Linked DNA regions of Macaca fascicularis. The protein of the gene in region 1 binds, or shares a complex with, the protein of each later gene. Links are inferred from orthologs where the notes say so. Each region holds a gene or a part of one and is shown on either strand. Other genes may lie near its edges.

Region 1 (5,049 bases):
TGTTCCACCAGCTAAGCTCATGCTATTTTTAAAATGAGAATTATTAACTTATTAAAATATCTAGAATAAGCATTTATTTTTATACTATGAACCATAAAACACAAATTTCTTAAATGATATTTCCTTCTTTGTTATGACCTAGCCAAAGTTTTAGAAGGTAGCTATTTTTAAAGGCCTTCTTACCACATCGGCTCCATCCACTTTGTTCAAGGCCAAAGCAATCTGAAATAAAAATAACAGCTCACCTACTACATGGAATTCTATTTCAGAGCATCCAGCAAATGTTCACCTCTTGCTTCTCATTGGCGAAAATCCACAAAAGTTCTTATAGGAATAGTATGTTTAAAAAAACAATAAAAGCTATAACTGGTTCTCCACGGTTCTAGCTTCTTTCACACGGAAGTGATTAGAAATAATCTGACAATCATTCTATTTCCTCATTTTCTGCCATCAGGCATGCAAGTATAACTTTCATATATTAATCTCTTACAAGCCTAAAAAAGTTACAGCCTCAAGAAGTTTAGACTACGAATAAAGTTAAATATAAAACTCTAAAGGAGTGAGCAAAGACACAGCCACTAAGGAGTGGGGTTGTGATGTGATCTTAGTTCTGCTGGACATCAAAAGAGCACTAAACTTCAATATGCACTTACAGTGCACGGTATACCTCTATCACACATGCAACAACCTGCAATGTTACAGAAAACTCTTGTCATTTCCAAAGAATGATGAAAGGCTAATACAAGTATGTATTCAAAACTCTGGCAACCACTGTGGGTAATAATGGAGAATAAAAAAAGAAAAAAGAAAAAATGCTGGCAACCAAACACAAATTAGTATTAAATGTTTATTGGGTGATTTAAGATAATCTGTGTCAAACTTTATTTTTTTAAAGTGTGATTCATAAACAGCATGCCATCTAACTTTCCCGAAAGTTTACCTTCTTTCCTAGATCTTCTTTCCTGTATCCTAGAAGTTCAAGGTATTTTCCACGAGAATCATCCTCAAAGTTCACCTTTTAAAAAAAAGACATATTCTTAAAAGAAAGACCTACATTTAAAGGCCAACTTTTTATAAGAATGAATCAAATTCCAAAGAGAATTATTAAAATTATCTGAAGTCTACATTCTAAAGATTCATTGTTAGAACGAATCTAAAGAATAGTGGGTTTTTTGGTTTTTTTGTTTGGAGACCTAGCCTCAGGAGGTCCTGAGAACATGTGCCCAGAATCATTTTTTTAAAATAAGTGATTTTTTTAATAGTAAATATACTAGTAATTAATTATCCTGGTTGAATAAAGTTTACTTTTGAACAGTAAGTTTTTTAAATACAAACTTATGTTCAAAGGTTAAATTGATACAAAACTCAAACTATGTGGAATATTCTATGTCCTAAAATTCTTTCCCAAAATTATTACAAAATATAAATTATTTAATTTTAGACTTTACCCTACCGTATTCAAGACTGCTTTACTTGAAAAATCAGTACTGTATAAAGAAATAGACATTCCAGTGCAGGCAAAATGACCAACAAGGAAATTCTATTTGTTACTCTATCCTAATTCCTCTTAAAGTAAAAGGAAAAATGCCTCCAACCTCTCTCCTCTATTCCTCTTCCTTTTTCCATTTTCCTTAACTAGATCTAATATAGATATTAAATATTCTATGTTTTCATTATAGTAAACTCTATGTACTAATCTTCAAAATAGGTATGCTGACTATGTCTCTCTCCTCTAAACAGATCTATTTTTGTTTTCTTATTAAAAATGTATTTCGTATTACACTTTTCAAAGTAGAGAAGGAAAAACTCTGGACACAGGTTGTATGCTCTTTATAAGGCTTCTTAATTTCATGATGAATTGCTGAAATCACACTTTTTCAATTCTTTAAAAGGAAGACAGATTTAGAATATAATGGAACAGTTAAATTTGCAGATAATGAAATAATACAGCCTTAAATAGCAACTTTACCTTCAAAAAGGACCACACATTTTTCTCAAATTCAGTCTGAGAAGCATCAATTTTTTTTTGGCAATAATTGATAAATCCTTGTGACTGCACAGCCTGCTGAAGTTGGTCTGACCGGCTGAGGAACTCCTTTTCTGTTACAACCTGACTAATGAACACATGGTGCTGCTGCTGCTGCTGCTCAGCTCCCTGATGAGAAGGCATTCTAACATTCTCAAATGTAACCAGTTTGCCTCCAAACTATAAAAGAGAGAATGAACAAACTCAGTGTTAACCCGAGGATATGGCCAAAAACAGTGCTTATAAAGTGGCCTAAACAGATAATCTGGATGAAATTAGTTGATACCACCTCTCATGCGCCACAGTCTGACATCACTTCAATTTCTGTTCTAGATGAAATGTACTTTTTTTTTTTTTGAGACAGAGTTTCACTCTTAGTCACCTAGGCTGGAGTGCAAAGGCGGGATGTTGGCTCACTACAACCTCTGCCTCCTGGGTTCAAGTGATTCTCCTGCCTCAGCCTCCTGAGTAGCTGGGATTACAGGTGCCAGCCACACGCCTGGCTAATTTTTGTATTTTTAGTAGACAGGGTTTCACCATGTTGGCCAGGCTGGTCTTGAACTCCAAACCTCAAGTGATCCACCCAGATACAGAAGACCAGATAGGATGATGAGAAGATTAAGCAGATCCAAAGAACAGACTTATGAGTGACATAAAACATATTCAAAGGTCTATTTTAGGAAGATTAATCTTGGAATATGTAGTAAAGATTAGAGAGGAAAAAGACAAGCAACAAATATGCAATCAAGCTATTAGAAGTCTGGTGTGAAAGAATTAGGCAAAGTGTCAGCAATGTAAAAGGAAGAAAGAAACAAACAAAAAGTGCTAGAGAGGATGTGGAGAAACTAGAACCCTTGTGCACTATTAGTGAGAATGTAAAATGGTAACGGTATAGAGGTTCTTCAAAAACTTAAAAATAGAACCATCGTACGATCCAGCAATCCCACTTCTGGGTATATGTCTCAAAAAACTGAAAACAGGATCCCAAAACGATAATTACAAACCCATGTTCACCACAGCATTTATTCACAATAGCCAAAAGATGGAAGCAACCAAAATGACCATCAAATGAAAGGATAAAAAAAATGTGGTATATATATACAATGCAATATTATTTGGCCTGTAAAAAGAAGTAAATTCTGTCATGCTACAACACAAATAAACCTTGAGGACATTAAGCTAAGTAAAATAAGCCAGCCACAAAAAGACAAGTACTGCATGATTCCATTTATATGAGTAATTTAAAGTAGTAAAACTCCTAGCAACAAAGTAGAATGTGGTTACCAGGGATTCAAGGGAAAGAGGAAATGGGGAGCTGCTGTTCAAGGGCACAGAGTTTCAGTTTTGCAAGATGAAAAAGTTCTAGAGATCTGTTGCACAACAACATGTATATAGTTAACACTACTGTAGTATATATTTAAAAATGGTTGTAGTGTATATTTAAAATGGTTAAGATAGTAAATTTTATATTACGTATTTTTTACAATAAAAAAAGCTGACAATTAAAAAAGAAAGCTAAAAGGATGAAGAGGAGGGAGGACACTCCCTGTGAAAATAAAAGAAAAGAAAAGAGAAGAGAAGAGAAAAGAAAAGAAAAAAAGAAGGGAGGGAGGGAGCGAGGGAAAGAGCTAGAGAGACAGAGAGAGAGAGAGAGAGAGAGAGAGAAGGAAGACACATTTAAAAAAAAGGGAGGAGGGCCTGGTACAGTGACTCATGCCTGTAATCCCAGCACTTTGGGAGGCCGAGGCAGGTGGATCACCTGAGGTCAGGAGTTCGAGACCAGCCCCAGTCAACATGGTAAAACCGCATCTCTACTAAAAATACAAAAATTAGCCAGGTGTGGTGGCGTGCACCTGTAATTCCAGCTACTCAGGAGGCTGAGGCAGGAGAACTGCTTGAACCCAGGAGGCGGAGGTTGCAGTGAGCCGAGATTGCGCTAGTGCACTCCACCCTGGGCAACAGAGCAAGACTCTGTCTAAAATAAAAAAATATTTAAAAAAAAAAAAGTGGGGGGAGGAACATAGAGTGTTGGCTACACAACAACAATGTAAATGTACTTAATGCCATTGAACTGTACATTTGAAAATGGATAAAATGATAAATTTTATGTATATTTTACCATGTTTTTAAAAAAGGGAAAAAAAAGAGTAGGTTCCAGTTTTTCAGAGAAATCATTTTGAATGATGCAATACCCACAAATACATCTCAAATCCCAACTTAAACCCCGACTTCTTCCATCAGAGTGATCCTGTAATAACACTTTGGTATAAAAAGTCCTTTGTGACTATGGACCATAAAAACAAAATCCACCTACTGAAAAAGAAGCACCAACAGGCCTTCGAATCCACTTGGGCGGCTTCTTCAGAGGCAACACTATACTATGCTGAGCAGTCTGCTGTGGAATTTGTAATGGAGGAAGGGGCTGTCCTGTGCCGAAGGGATCAAGATTCCCAAAAGATGATGAAAGCTAAAAAAGATTAATAACATGAGAATCTGACCATACACAAACTATCTTTCATTTTTTTCCAGTCATATCCAAAAAAATTTTTGATCACAATTGTCCAATTAACCAGCAATGTTAATCAGTGAAGTCATTTCAAAATATTACACAACATGTACTTTTTTCAGGCATTATAATAGAAAACTTTAACACTTCCTATTACCTTGTCAACTTGTTTCTGTCTTAAACCGTCTGTGCTTCCTCCCATGATAGAATAAACACTGATACGCCCATCAAACGAAGCAGCTGATAAGACAGCAGGATTTCGGGGACACCACTGAATATCGAAGCACCACTGTGTGTTGGTGGGAAGTTCATATAACACCTGGGCCAACAAAAAACAAACAACAACACTCAGAAAATGGTGGTGTGGGGAAAAGAAAGAGAGATCAGACTGTTACTGTGTCTATATAGAAAGAAGTAGACATGAGACTCCATTTTGTTCTGTATTTGAGATGCTGTTAATCTGTGACCCTACTCCCAACCTTGTCCTTGCAAGAGACATGTGCTGTAGTGACTCAAT
Region 2 (5,049 bases), on another chromosome or scaffold:
GCGCTGCACAGCGAGGCAGGGAGGGAGACCGGGCAGCACTGGCAGTGGACCGAGGTGAGCAGGGGGATGTGCTGGGTGGCCATGTGCTGCAGGCCACGTGCGGAGACAGCGTGGCTAAATCATTGATGATGGAAATGCGCAACCTGCTACGCCAAATTGGATTTCTTTATCCACACGGAGCAGTTTTATGAAATGTAGCCTCTTGAACAGAGGGTGAGAGTCCCTCTGGCTTTTCACAAGCAGAGCTGTGCACGCTGGGCTGGACAATGTCCCAGAAGGTGCCCAGGACCCTGGGAGGTCCCAGACGAGCCAGCACATCTGACGCAGTGACTGTCTGTAGGACCAGGGCATGGGGCCTGGTTCTTGGACCTATTTGATTTGAAGAGCTGAAGGCAGACCACAGGTCTAACATTCCCTTTATTGCTTACGTCGCATATACCAATGAATACAATAAACTCCTTTTTAAAAAAGTAAGGCACATGAAAAGCCTTTTGTGCAAGTTCCATATTATTTTAAAATTCCTATTGGCTAATAAAAGCATTTCCACTATAGAACCAGAGACATCTAGAAAAGCACATGATAGATTTCTTTGCAAGCAGAATGCCTCAAACATTATTACATTTACCTCATGGCACAATGAGACAGTCACCAAATCCAATGTCTGCATTATAATGATGCAGCTACTATTATAGTTGGAAAACATTAATCACCTTATCCACATATGTACAGCTGGGTCCCCACACGGTAAAATCTAAAGGAAGAACAGCATCTAACTGCATCTGGGTTCCATTCCCTCACAGGCAGGAACTTTGGCGTTTCGGCTCTTGCCATGTTGTGCTGCTCTTCACGAGAGGCCAGGGTCATACGATACTGAAGACCATGGACAGGTACTGTTCGTACGACACCTGAATCCAGCCATCCTGATCCGTGTCGTAACGTCTGAATATATCCGTCAACCTCTGGGGAGAAAACACACATTTAAATCTCGATAGTGAACGGAAGGAGCAAGGTGCACTGGGACAAAGTCATTAGGAACCCAATTTCAGAAGCACACAGGTCATCTCCTGATGAAGCCCAGCACAGGCAGGCACAGGTGGGGCTGGAGCTGTTCACATGGACAGTGGGAGTGGGAAGAACACAGGGCTGCAGGGCTGGCTCCACTACGTCCAGCCCTGGCTGAGCCCCTGATCCCAGGCCCTGGTCTCCTGAGTCTCCTGGGGGCCTGGGCCCTTCCTTCGCCCCTGAAGACCGTCCCGTGGAGGCCCTCCACCCTCCAGTGGCTCGCCTCTGCTGTGGGGCCACCTGGGCTATGTGGAGCTCAGGACACAGCGGGGGATCTTGTGACATCACGAGGGCTTCAGGCTCCTTCAGCCCCGCCCACCCCTCCCTCTGACAGCCGAGGGTCCAGGCCAGATCAGCAGCAGAGACAGGGTGACCGCCTACACCCTCCTAACAGGGATGGTTAAGTAAGTGCCACTTCTAGATGATGGACTTGGGGCAGCCGTAAACTATCATGAAGATTCAGGCCAGCATGGTGACTCTCGTCTGTGATCCCAGCACTCTGGGAGGCCAAGGCGTGAGGATCGCTTGAGCCTGGGGGTTGAGGCTGCAGTGAGCCGTGTTCACACCACCACACTCAGGCCTGGGTGACAGACAGCAAGGGTCTCTCAAAAAAAAAAAAAAAAAAAGGAAGGAGAAGGAAAAAGAAAGAAGAAGAAGAAGAAAATGTGACAAGGGAAGAAAACAGCAGTCCTCGCATATCAGAACGTGGACAGGGTGTGGTGACTCTCGCCTGTGATCCCAGCTACTCAGGAGGCCAAGGCGGAAGGATCGCTTGAGACTTGGGGTCGAGGCTGCAGTGGGCTGTGTTTACACCACCACATTCCAGCTGGGGTGACAGAGCAAGACTCCATCTCAAAGGAAAAAAAACCACCCTGCAGGAACGCCACAGCACCACCAGGCCCCTGGACTTGGCAGCAGCTACGGCCTCACCAAACTCCAAAAACACCTGCAATGGATGATGCTGGCTTGAAGAATAATGGGTAATTTTTCTTTTTTTTTTTGAGACGGAGTCTTGCTCTGTCACCCAGGCTGGAGTGCAGTGGCCGGATCTCAGCTCACTGCAAGCTCCTCCTCTCGGGTTCACGCCATTCTCCTGCCTCAGCCTCCCGAGTAGCTGGGACTACAGGCACCCGCCACTTCGCCCGGCTAGTTTTTTGTATTTTTTAGTAGCGACGGGGTTTCACCGTATTAGCCAGGATGGTCTCGATCTCCTGACCTCATGATCCGCCTGTCTCGGCCTCCCAAAGTGCTGGGATTACAGGCTTGAGCCACGGCGCCCGGCCGTAATTTTTCTTTCTATTTTGAATCCTTTGTGTTTTTCTAGAGTTTCTAAAAGTGTTCATATTATTTGTTAAAAAATAATTTTCAAAAAGCCTTTATCCTTTTGGAAAAAGCAGATGAATCAAAACATTTTTGAGGGAATTTTAACTTGTGGTCTGCAGCTTTCTTTTCTTTCCCATTCCCCATCTGTCTAGTGTTTAGGGTCACTCTCCAAGGGTGGGGAGAGCCCGGGAACTGGCTGTCAGGCCCTCCCCACGCGGTCTGGAGCCGGGGCCTTGGGGAGGCAGCACCCCCCAGGAGGAGCTACCCTTGCTGCGGATGTGCCTTGGAAGGCGCTGGAGAGGTCACTGTGAGGCCGCCAGTGTTACTCCAGCTACCGAAAGCTCACACAAGATCAACGTTAACTTACAGAACATAGTCTCAAATGAAGATCTGAATCCTACAGCAATTCAGTCACGGTACATAACGAGATTTTACACTGCATCTTTTCCCTCTTTTTTTGTGAGACAGTGTCTGGCTCTGTCACCCAGGCTGGAGTGCAGTGGTGTGATCTTGGCTCACTGCAACCTCCACCTCTTAGGCTCAAGTGATTCTCCTGCCTCAGCCTCCTGAGTAGCTGGGACTACAGGCATGTGACACCAGGCCCGGCCTACACTTTTTTAAAGTGTTCAGAGAACATTGTGAAAATATCATCCAACGTGGCAGGAACCCCAAGAGGCAGGGCAGGAAAGGCTCCCCCACTGTCGAGTTTTGAGGCTTCCATGTTCACAGACCTGGTTCTCCAACAAATCCCTGAAGAGCAGGGACTGATGGATCCATAAACCAGAGGAAACTCACTTTTACAGATCTAGCATTTTAATTGTTACATAGAATAAACAATTTGGGAACGTTTCCGAATTTCCCCATTATTTCTAAAAACCCCATGCTGTTCCTCTCTCTCACGGAACTGCGCGGCCACCAAGGCAGGACCTTGAGGAATCTGGGTGGAGACCGGGATCTCCACCTGCACACAGCAGCAGGGGTCTGTGTGGAGCTCCCAGGCGGGTCCCCTGAGCCCTGCTCTCCATCTCCGTGCGTCTCAGAGAGAGCACAGCAGGAAAGACGTCACCAAAGAGCTTGCCTTGCAGGTCAGGGTGCATTACAAGCTCCTGCAGACACTGGTGTGCACAGGAAGAGCGCGGAGACCCCACCGAGGGCAGCCCGAGTGCCCACAGGCTCCACAGCTGACCTCACACACAACGACGGCAGGACACAGGGATGACCACAACAGAAAACGTGTCCCTTTTCTCAGAATAAAAGTTTTTGCAAAAATACACTATCATTGGCCAGGCACAGGGGCTCATGCCTGTAATCCCAGCACTTTGGGAGGCTAAGGCGGGCGGATTATTTGAGGTCAGGAGTTTGAGATCAGCCTGGCCAACATGGCAAAACCCCATCTCTACTAAAAATACAAAAATTAGCTGGGTGTCACCTGTAATCCCAGCTACTGGGGAGGCTGAGGCAGGAGAATCGCTTGAACCCGGGAGGCAGAGGTGAGAGTGAGCCGGGATCGTGCCATAGCCTGGGTGACAGAGCGAGACTCGGTCTCAAAAAAAAAAAAAAAAAAAAAAAAAATCAGAACACCAGAACATACGTGTAACTAACCCACCGGATACTGCAAAAACAGCGTCTTCCAGATGGGCTGCTCTATGCCATTTCCAAGGGGAGGAAAACATGTTTGTCTACACTTCCACTAACCAGCTACTTCTCCAAAGATGAGACTCAGTCTTACAAGCTCCAAAAACTAATTCTACATACGCCTGACTCCTTGGATTGAAGGTCAGGTGCATCACGCTGGCAAGCGAACCCCTCCCACCACCACAGCAAACCCAGGCAAAGCCACTCCGTCACCTGCAGGACGATGCAGCCCTGGATGAAGTCGTCGAAGGCGATCTGCCCCCGTCCCTGCCTGTCGAACTTTCGAATGAGGATGTCGTGGAACTGGTCAGAGAGCCGGTAGCCTTGAAGAGTGAAAGTTGGAGTCAGAGAGGGCTGGGAGAGACGGGAGGTATGTGCCAACGCCCACCCCTCCCTCCCAAGGCCCACAGCCTCTAACACACACGATGCAAGGCTGGGTGCGAACGGAAGTGCAAATTCACTCAAAGGCACTCAGAACTGAGACGCTTCCCGAATACGTCGCTGTGTAATGAGCTCACATCTGCAGTGCATGGAGCGACCCCTCGAGACCAGGACCCTGGAAGGAGGAGCGAGTGGGACGTTGCCATCGGTCACTCTCGTGAATTAACTACTCACCCCAGGGAAGCACTCACCAACCACCACCCCACAGGGCGGCCACGCTCAGTTCGTGAACCCAGTGGAGTTACTTTCAAAGTCCTTATTGATTTTATTATGTTTATTAACCTAGATAAGAAAATTCTGAATGATTCACCGCCCTGGGTTGCTTGTCACCAGACAATGCTTTGAAAACTAAAATTTCACAGAAGGTTTCCAGTTATACAAAGTGTCAATGTCAAGAAATGGGAGTGTCTGGGGGATGTGCCCCACCCGCCATGAGGGACTGACGGGCACAGTGGCAGGGTGACCTCGGAAAGGTCCAAGTCACTGCAGGGCCACCAAGGGCTAGGATTTCGTTTCCAGTTCACCGAGCCTGTCCTGAAAAAGGCCTCCCACAGGGAGAGGGCTCTGAAGACGTGTGGAGGCAGCAGG

Evidence for each region. Proteins that work in one complex are often made in the same cells at the same time.
Region 2: the proteins of SEC31A (region 1) and PDCD6 are in contact, whole or in part, in a crystal structure (PDB 3WXA), measured with the Homo sapiens proteins. The link is inferred for Macaca fascicularis from reciprocal best matches to the Homo sapiens genes SEC31A and PDCD6. Residues at the interface, in NP_001070675.1 of Homo sapiens: Asn837, Pro838, Pro839, Pro840, Pro841, Gly842, Phe843, Ile844, Met845; in NP_037364.1 of Homo sapiens: Val31, Val35, Leu48, Ala51, Leu52, Ser53, Asn54, Gly55, Thr56, Trp57, Phe85, Trp89, Ile92, Gln96, Phe99, Phe148.

Annotation. Positions count from the first base shown.
Region 1 is NC_088379.1:50,982,834-50,987,882, reverse strand, and holds part of SEC31A (protein transport protein Sec31A), read right to left. Parts: intron 4,852-5,049; coding exon 4,690-4,851; intron 4,494-4,689; coding exon 4,341-4,493; intron 2,207-4,340; coding exon 1,970-2,206; intron 1,016-1,969; coding exon 941-1,015; intron 223-940; coding exon 184-222; intron 1-183. UniProt on the Homo sapiens protein: Component of the coat protein complex II (COPII) which promotes the formation of transport vesicles from the endoplasmic reticulum (ER).
Region 2 is NC_088380.1:624,978-630,026, reverse strand, and holds the end of PDCD6 (programmed cell death protein 6), read right to left. Parts: intron 4,344-5,049; coding exon 4,234-4,343; intron 960-4,233; coding exon 861-959; 3' UTR 400-860; downstream 1-399. UniProt on the Homo sapiens protein: Calcium sensor that plays a key role in processes such as endoplasmic reticulum (ER)-Golgi vesicular transport, endosomal biogenesis or membrane repair.